Rattus norvegicus: one gene and its partner. The protein of the gene in region 2 interacts with the protein of the main gene of each other region in a biochemical or structural test. Links are inferred from orthologs where the notes say so. Each region holds a gene or a part of one and is shown on either strand. Other genes may lie near its edges.

Region 1 (4,270 bases), on a different chromosome or scaffold from region 2:
CACAGAGGCCTAGAGATATCCTGAACAGAAGGAATGGCAAAAGCAGCATAGTGCACTGGCCTAGGTATCCTGGCATTTCCACAGGCTGGGTCTCCTCAAAAGGCCCCAATCGCCCAGCTAGAGACCCCTTGCTACTTCCTGGACACAGCAGCAGCCTCGGGCTTTATCTTTCCATCGTCCTTCAAATTATTTCTAGCTTAAATTTAAACTCCAATTAGCTGTGCCAGGTAAACGGTGTCAGAGCCCAGCAGGAGTCACAGTTCTGAGTCACCCCCACACCTCCCATCACAGCTACAGAGACTGGGGGGCCGGCTGGGTGGGGCTGAGCAGGGCTGGGTCCTGACACTCTACGAAGAAGCCCTCCTTCTTGCAAGCAGCCTAGTCAGGGAGACAGGAGAGGCAACCTATTGGGAACTCCCTAGGTTTTCACTCATCCCAGATTCCAGGATGGGACACACAGCCAGGAACGAGCCCCGCATGCACAGCCCTCTCAGTGTGGCCAACACTGCTGAGGAGCCACTGTCCTCGGAGTCTTCACTTTCTCAGCCACACAGGCTGGGCATGGGACTCTGGCTCCTAAAGGGCATGGTAAGTGACTCCACTGCTTTTTTTGGTCTAGAACCTGAGTTCTCAATCAGACCATTATAACCCCAGGTCTTGTCCCTAGCGTTCCCCATCTCCTCAGGAGTCAGGGCCGGGTTTGTGCATGCCAAGCACACACCCAGTGCCTCCTGCACACTCATAAAAACATGCAGAGCCAGGTATCACCTTCCCTCCTCACCTCTTATCACACCCCTCCTGTTGCTATTACCTACACTGAGCCTCTCTGTTACCCACAACCACCATCACTCCATCACTTCTCAATACACACCCGCAGTTTCATACAGTCAGACTGTGAGTCTCCTACCAGTCACCCTCTCCCACCAGAGTTCTACACTGCAGTGTCACCTTCCACACAGCCCTGTCATATACCTGAGCCTTTACAATAGCATACAAAGATACTGTCACACACACACACGCACACACACACACACACACACACACACACACACACACACACACACCAGCTGCCCTTTGCTGGCCTGTTCACCACACCCCAGTCTAATCCATACCAGGAATGAGGAAACCCAGTCCCCTCCCCTCTGTACCTGATCAGCTTGGTCACAGAAGATCAGCAGCGGAAGAAGATGAACCACTTACACACTCACAAGCCTAGGGGGTTGGCACACCAATAGTGTGGGCTCCCACAGTTAAAGGACTCATGGTCATTGTGATAGAGTGCACAGACTTTTGGGACACACAGGGATGCGGATACATAAGCAGGTCAAAGCACAAAAATGTAGAGGGGAAGCCAGTGACAAGACATGATGTATATGAAGTTGGATGTGGCACACATCGAGCCTCAGAACACACAGACAGCCATATAAGTACAAGCAAGTCACACATGAAAAAGGACACATTCACTGGGGAAGTCCCACTATGACAAACATTACACAAGGAGACAAGATACACACCATACCCACAGGTCCTACACCGATACTACGACAACAGAAGCCAAACTTCTCCAAGGGCTCAGGGTAGGGGCCAAAGGAAAAAGGAATCTCCCCCACTCATTCTAAATCCTACAGGTTTGAGTGGAGTACTTAATGAGGATCGCTCCTCTCCCCTCCCCTGTACTGAGGGAGTTGGGGAAGTGGGAGCAGTTGTGAGGGGCCTCCTTCTCCACTGCCAGCCAGCAGGGCACTCCCGTCACTGCTGTCCTTGTCACCTTACTGGGCCCCCAGAGCGGGTGGCGTCTCTCCTGCGGGTCAGAGACTGACAGCACCAGGCAGAGGCTACCCGGGGAAGGGGCTCAGAGGATCCGAGAGGACGGGGGAATGGTGGAGGCTGGAGCCACGCCCAGCACAGAGACAGATGCAAGGAAAGCCAAGAAAGACACCGAGACAGAAAGAAGAGATAGGACGAGGAGGCGGCGCCGCCAGAGTCCGCCCGCCTGGGACCCAAGCACTGGAGGCTAAGGAGACCGGCGGCCGGGCCTCCGCCCGGTGGTGAAAAGGAACCGAGACTGGACTGGCAGGGGCGGGCGAGCGTCGGCTGGGGGTGCGGCTCCCGGAGGACTGGGTTGAGGGGGCGGCGGGTCTGGTGGGGGTGGGGAGATGGAGTACACGGACGACGAGGAGCAAACGGACCTGGCCTGGGAGCAGAGGATCAGGCAAGAGGGGGTGGGGGCCGACGAACGTGCAGAGGCCCCAGGGAGATTCGAGAAGATCGGACGACCCTCGGCGGGGCTGAGGACACACAGCGGGGTAAAGATGCTGGGAGTAGTCGGGCCTGGGCTCCAGCCGTCGAAGAGAGGGTCAGACGGACCAGAGTACCGAGGCAACCGCGGGTCTCTGTGCTCGGCGGGACTTTGGCTGCTCGTGGCTCAGTTTCTCAGTTTCAGAACCCGGAGTCGGAGAAGGAAGGGGGGAAAGGAGGCTACGGGCGAGAGAAAGCGGGGGGGGGGGGGGGGGGAAGGCCTCTGCGCCCTCGAGTTAACTCGGACCCCGCGCCTGGGCCCAGCTCTCACTCACCTCTCGACGCAGGGCCAGACACCAGGGGTCCCGGCGGGCCCGGGTCCGTCTCGTGGCGCGGCTCTCCCGGATGCGCGTGGACGGGGAGGTCGACACGAGTCTGATCAGGACGGGCCCGGAGGCCAGTGGGGACCTCCCGGGTCCCGGCAAGAAGGGTAGATGTTCAGGGGCCGCTCGCGGGATCCCCGCGGCCGCCGCCTCCTGTTCTGGCGCCGCGGCACACGGAAGTGCGAGGGGGCGGGACTGCGCGACCTCACCCAGGTGCCGGCCCCGGTCCCGCCCCCACTCAGGATCCGCCCCACGGGCGCCCGCCCCTTCGAAGCTCCGCCCACGAAAGCTGGGGGTCCGGCACGTCTCAACCTCTTTCAGTTGCAGGTTCTTTGGTCCCCAGGTCTGTTACCCGTCTCTGGCTCTTGTGGTGCCTCGCCTGCCAGTGGCACGCAGGTCACCCCTCCTCAGGGGACTGTTTTATAGAGGAGGACTCCGAGGCCAAGTCGGGGGGCACAGCACACACAATGGAGCCCAGGAGGCAGCGGCGGGGCTTCCCCAACTACTTGCGCCCACGCCCGGGACTCCCCACTGGCCAGCTGGCCTGCCTCGCCTGGCCTCATTCCTCTTCCTGCTGGCTTGTGCAGAGCCATGGACGGGCTCAGTGCCCGCCGCCAGGCCTGCCGGTTCCAGCCCTGCCGGAGAGAAGGAGCTGGGAGGTCTCCAGGGCGAGAGGCTCTAGCCAGTCTGTCTCAGCACTGCCCCCATCTTCACACCCTTTTCCTGTGCCCACCATTAGAGCTCCGCTCGATCAGTCAGGCGCATAAAAGGAATTTGATTGTCAGCTGTAACTCATTCACTCATTAAGGGTCCCCTGGGCCCAAAGTCTGAGCACCAAATGGGAGCCAGGGCGTCCATTCTTCTGTCCCCAAAGCCCAGAACGCTAAGCTGTTGCATTATAGTTACCCAAAGAAATGACTTCCTGAACTAGGCAGATGATAGTTTGTCTAGCACGCAGATAGCTCTGTGTTTGACCCTCACCACAGAGTAAACCACGGATAGAGGCTCAGAATGATACTTCAGTGCTGGGGGCGGGAGGAAAGCAGGAGAAAGGGGAGCTCATCGAGTTCAGCCTCAGTTACATAGCAAGTGGATGGCAGCCTGGCCATGGGAGGCTCTAAACAAAAACAAAACAAAAAATAAAATAAAAAAGATAACTCTTCCTGCTGGGAGGATAAGAGGGTTCTGGTATCCCGAGATCCCTAAGGTCCTTCTGGGAAACTATCTAGAAGGAATACAAGTCTAGACAGCTCTTTGCAGTCTGAGATCAAGAGAAGCGCCCCGCCCCATTCCACCTGTGGAGGTTTGAGACTTCCAGGGATGGGGGAACCTGGCGTAAATGAAGGTCTCCAAACCTTATTTTGAATGTACACTGGGGATTGAGCTAGGGAGAGGAAACCACAATGACTCGTCCTTCTGTAGAAAGAGGAAGGCCGCTGGTTCCCTGTCCCCTGAAAGAGGGCCCCCGTTTGAAAGTTAGTATTTAGGTCCCCAGTCCTGATAACTGTCCCCACCCCGTGACAGCGACTTTGACCAAATTAGATTCCTTCTGGAAAGACAATCTCCTTTCTCCTCGAAGCAGGCTTGTGAGCATTCTGTTTCCTGGGTCATTCCCTAGTGACAGTCCTCTACCTGCCTCAGCTGTGTCT
Region 2 (3,511 bases):
TTGCAGTCTGGCCGATGGCACAAATGGGCAGTTAAAATGGTATACTGTAGAAGCAAGGGAGACGGGGAGAGAGAGATGAAGAAACACCCACATCCTGTTACTCTGCGACTGGCTTATTAACCTCTGTAAACCTCAAGTCCTTCATGTGCTAAGTTGGCTAATAGTGCCTAACACATAGGTCTGGTCAAAGTATAAGACTGAAAGCATGTATAAAATGTCGTAGACAATCTGTTAGCATGAGCTCTGGACAAAGGCCTCTAGGCAAGTAGGCTAGGTCTATTCCAGTCCAGAGGGACAAGACTTGTTGTTTGGAAATGTTAGACTAATAAATATCCAGGTCATATTACAGAGAGCACCAGTGTACTGGACAATTCCTCGAGAGCCAAGGCTGGACCAACCATCAACCCCAAGTACCTTTTTAATCATGGACCACCTCCACCTCAGAGCACACAACTAATTCCATTTTTTTTTGTTTTGTTTTGTGACAGAGTCTCTATGTAGTCTCGTGGCCTCCACCATGAGACCTTCCTGTCTCAGCCTCCCGACTGCTTGGATTTCACTTAGCTCATGTGTTCTAATTCTAAAAGCAAATGCTGGACAGAAGTCAAGAATAAGGTTGGGGGCAGAGCACGTGGTGGTAGTTACAGGGATTTGACAGGCCAGTCTCATTCTTCCCTTGTTTAAGCAGAGCAGGGCCTCTGCTAGAGTCCCTGGGATTGTTGGGGTCTGCCTGGAGACGACTGTGATGAGTGCACACTTATTACACACAAATTTAATGTATCTTTATATCTCTATGTATCTATTCCATATGTTAGACAAAAAAAAAAAAAAACCATTGGAATACAATAGCTACATGGGGCGTCCAAAGACTACAAACCCATTCCTGGAATTTGTGTGAAGGTGGAAGAGGCCCCACAGTATTGCCTTCCGGCGTACTGAAAGCAGTGTTCTTTGCACAGACTGAGGAACGAACAGCTTAGTTCTCTATGTCACAGACTACAATGGTGATGACAGTTGGAACAGCACATGCCAAGTTCCAATCAAAGGCTTCTCACCCGGCACTGCCTTCACAAACAGACGCAAACGGCTCCTGCCGGGTGCATGGGAGAAGCTTGACACGCATGACCCATTGGTGGCAGGGGTGGCGACGGTAAGGTGATTTTCTTAGCAAAGGAGGTGTGAAAGCTTGCCCTGTGTGGTGGCCCCGTTGATCTGTTTTACATTTTCTGAATCAAGCTTCACCATTACTCCATTTTCATATGAGACTTAGAAAGCATGTTTCACAGAACTAACCGGTGCTAGGTTACCTGGACCAAAGTCTCATTTCATGAAGAAAACAGCTATTTTGGAATCATACTAGGAATGCTCAAGGGTCAGAAGGCTGTAAGGTGTTCTCTAGGACTCGTAGTGTGCTCAGTGAGGTGAAGACCAAAGTCAAAGTCACGCAGGAGAAACACGCATCACTGAGATGACATTCTAGCACGCCTAGCACATGAATGCGGGTGCACGAAGCTTTAGCCATGCATTCTGCACCCTCTCTCTCCCATCCCCTATTCTGACCCTCCCTCTCATTACTGAACACAAACAGATAAATGCACAAAGCGCGCATTGATGAAGGAAAGCCTGCAGTAGCTTTGAGGGAATTGTTTTTGAACGCATCAGGCAAGCTTTGAAAAATGAACTGGACTGACTCCAGAGCTTGAAATCAGCATCAGCAAAACTCCAGTCACCCAAACAAAACCTGCGTGATGAAGGCCTTCAGGCTGAAGGACAAACGGTACTATTTAATCCACTGAAAAACATTCTCCCGAAAGAAGACGTTCTCTTTTGCAAGCACGTGTTTCTATTTAGACATTGATACCCAGTAAGTCACCCTCCGAGCCATTCATTCTGCCCAAGTCCTTGATAGCCTCAGAAGCCGGCAGAATGAGTTAGGTCTCGGATATAACGCAGGCAGAACTGTCTACCACTGCTAGGCAGTGTGCAGTCGATGTAACTGGCGGGCATCCATCCTTTCCTACAGTAAGTCCTTTACTGAGGCTCAGATAGAAACAGCAGGCACGGGAAAACGTCTGCCTCTGAAAACAATCTTGATCCCTTAGTGTGTGAACTTAATACACGGCCAGACCTTTTTACGTCACAGGGGACAGAAATGTGAAATGCTACAAAGAAATCCTGCTGATGAGGCAGCTAGCTGAAACACAGGCTCATGAGAGAGAGGGGCGGGGAAGGACGGAGGTAGGGAGAGGGAGGAGGGGAGAGGAAGAGGGAGAGGGAGAGACCCTTCTCTGGGCTCCTTACAGCAGACTCCAGATCTGATGCAGTACCAGCCTGCCTCAGGTCTTCCCAAGGTGGAAATACCCCTGCCACAGAACTCACCATACTGTCAAATTCAGAGCCCACTATCTTGGACATCTCGTCAAACTCCTCTGGAGACATGGGAAGCAGGTTTTCTGTGCTCTGAAGTCTAGAAGGGTGGCTGGAATAGAGAGAGAGGAAAGGGCAATGTCAACACCTGAGTTACAGAGGCCTTAGTGCAAGCTGAGACACTTTGTCTATCTGAGGCTGCGTGATCACTTCATACTCTCATGTCAGAAAAACATACACTGTATAGAACGAATCTCACACAGTACAGATCATGGGAGGTTTATGTCCCCGGCCCGGCCCCTTGGGATACACTAGAATTTAAACATGAGCAATTGCCAGACTGAAGCCTATACCACTACGGCCTGGGGGAGCCTCAGTGTGAAGATGTGCAGTGTTGTCCTGAGGTGGTGGACTCTCGAGGCTCACCCTGGACAGAAAAGTACCAAGAGATGTCTGGGGGATCCCTCTTCCCTACCTTGAGGTCTATGCAGATAAGGCTGCTCCACAGGGTTCTACATGAAGGCTACATCCATTCACCCCCAGACAGTGCCGCAAGCAAATAACTGACAATGACTTTTCCAGCACTTCCTACCTTCTATGGACTGAAACGACAGAATCAAAGCAAGCGGAGAAAACGGACCCCAGTTCCAACTTTGGCCTTTGCTTGAAAAAGAACTGCTTTCCCACTCGTCGAGTTTTGGTTGTTTTTATTCATGCTTTTTTTCTTTTCAAGTGTCAGTTTGGGGAGTCCTTACATACAACTTTGTTTCATTTTTATTTTGTTTATTGTGGGTTTGGGGTGGCAGGTTGTTGTTGCTGGTATTTTGTTTTTTAATCTTATGGCAGTAAAACGCCAGTAAGCACTGATACCAGGACTAGTTAGGATCTTTCCAGAACGTCCAACTGTGGTGGCAACATCAGTTACATTGGGAAAGCAAGCCTCGAGACAGTGCAATCAATGAGCCCCGGCCAGGGATGGGGCTGGCTTGAGGTTCTCAACAAGCCAGTCTTCTGTGCTCACTTACACTTCAGACACAGAAATCAACTCAGTCTTGATGTATCCAGTTCTCTTAGGGTCATCGAGCTCCATCGGTTCTGGTGCTACAAGCAAGCACACCATATACACTTCACATTAGCGGAAATC

What was found. The genes of interacting proteins can lie anywhere in the genome.
Region 1: of the proteins of Stat1 (region 2) and Prkcd, one has a biochemical effect on the other in vitro, tested with the Homo sapiens proteins (2 studies listed by BioGRID). The link is inferred for Rattus norvegicus from reciprocal best matches to the Homo sapiens genes STAT1 and PRKCD.

The regions. Positions count from the first base shown.
Region 1 is NC_086034.1:5,803,038-5,807,307, forward strand, and holds the start of Prkcd (protein kinase C delta type), read right to left. Parts: upstream 2,803-4,270; 5' UTR 2,574-2,802; intron 2,289-2,573; exon of another isoform or gene 2,190-2,288; intron 1-2,189.
Region 2 is NC_086027.1:56,913,927-56,917,437, forward strand, and holds part of Stat1 (signal transducer and activator of transcription 1-alpha/beta), read right to left. Parts: intron 3,469-3,511; coding exon 3,393-3,468; coding exon of another isoform or gene 3,389-3,392; exon of another isoform or gene 3,060-3,388; intron 2,480-3,059; coding exon 2,380-2,479; intron 1-2,379. UniProt on the Homo sapiens protein: Signal transducer and transcription activator that mediates cellular responses to interferons (IFNs), cytokine KITLG/SCF and other cytokines and other growth factors.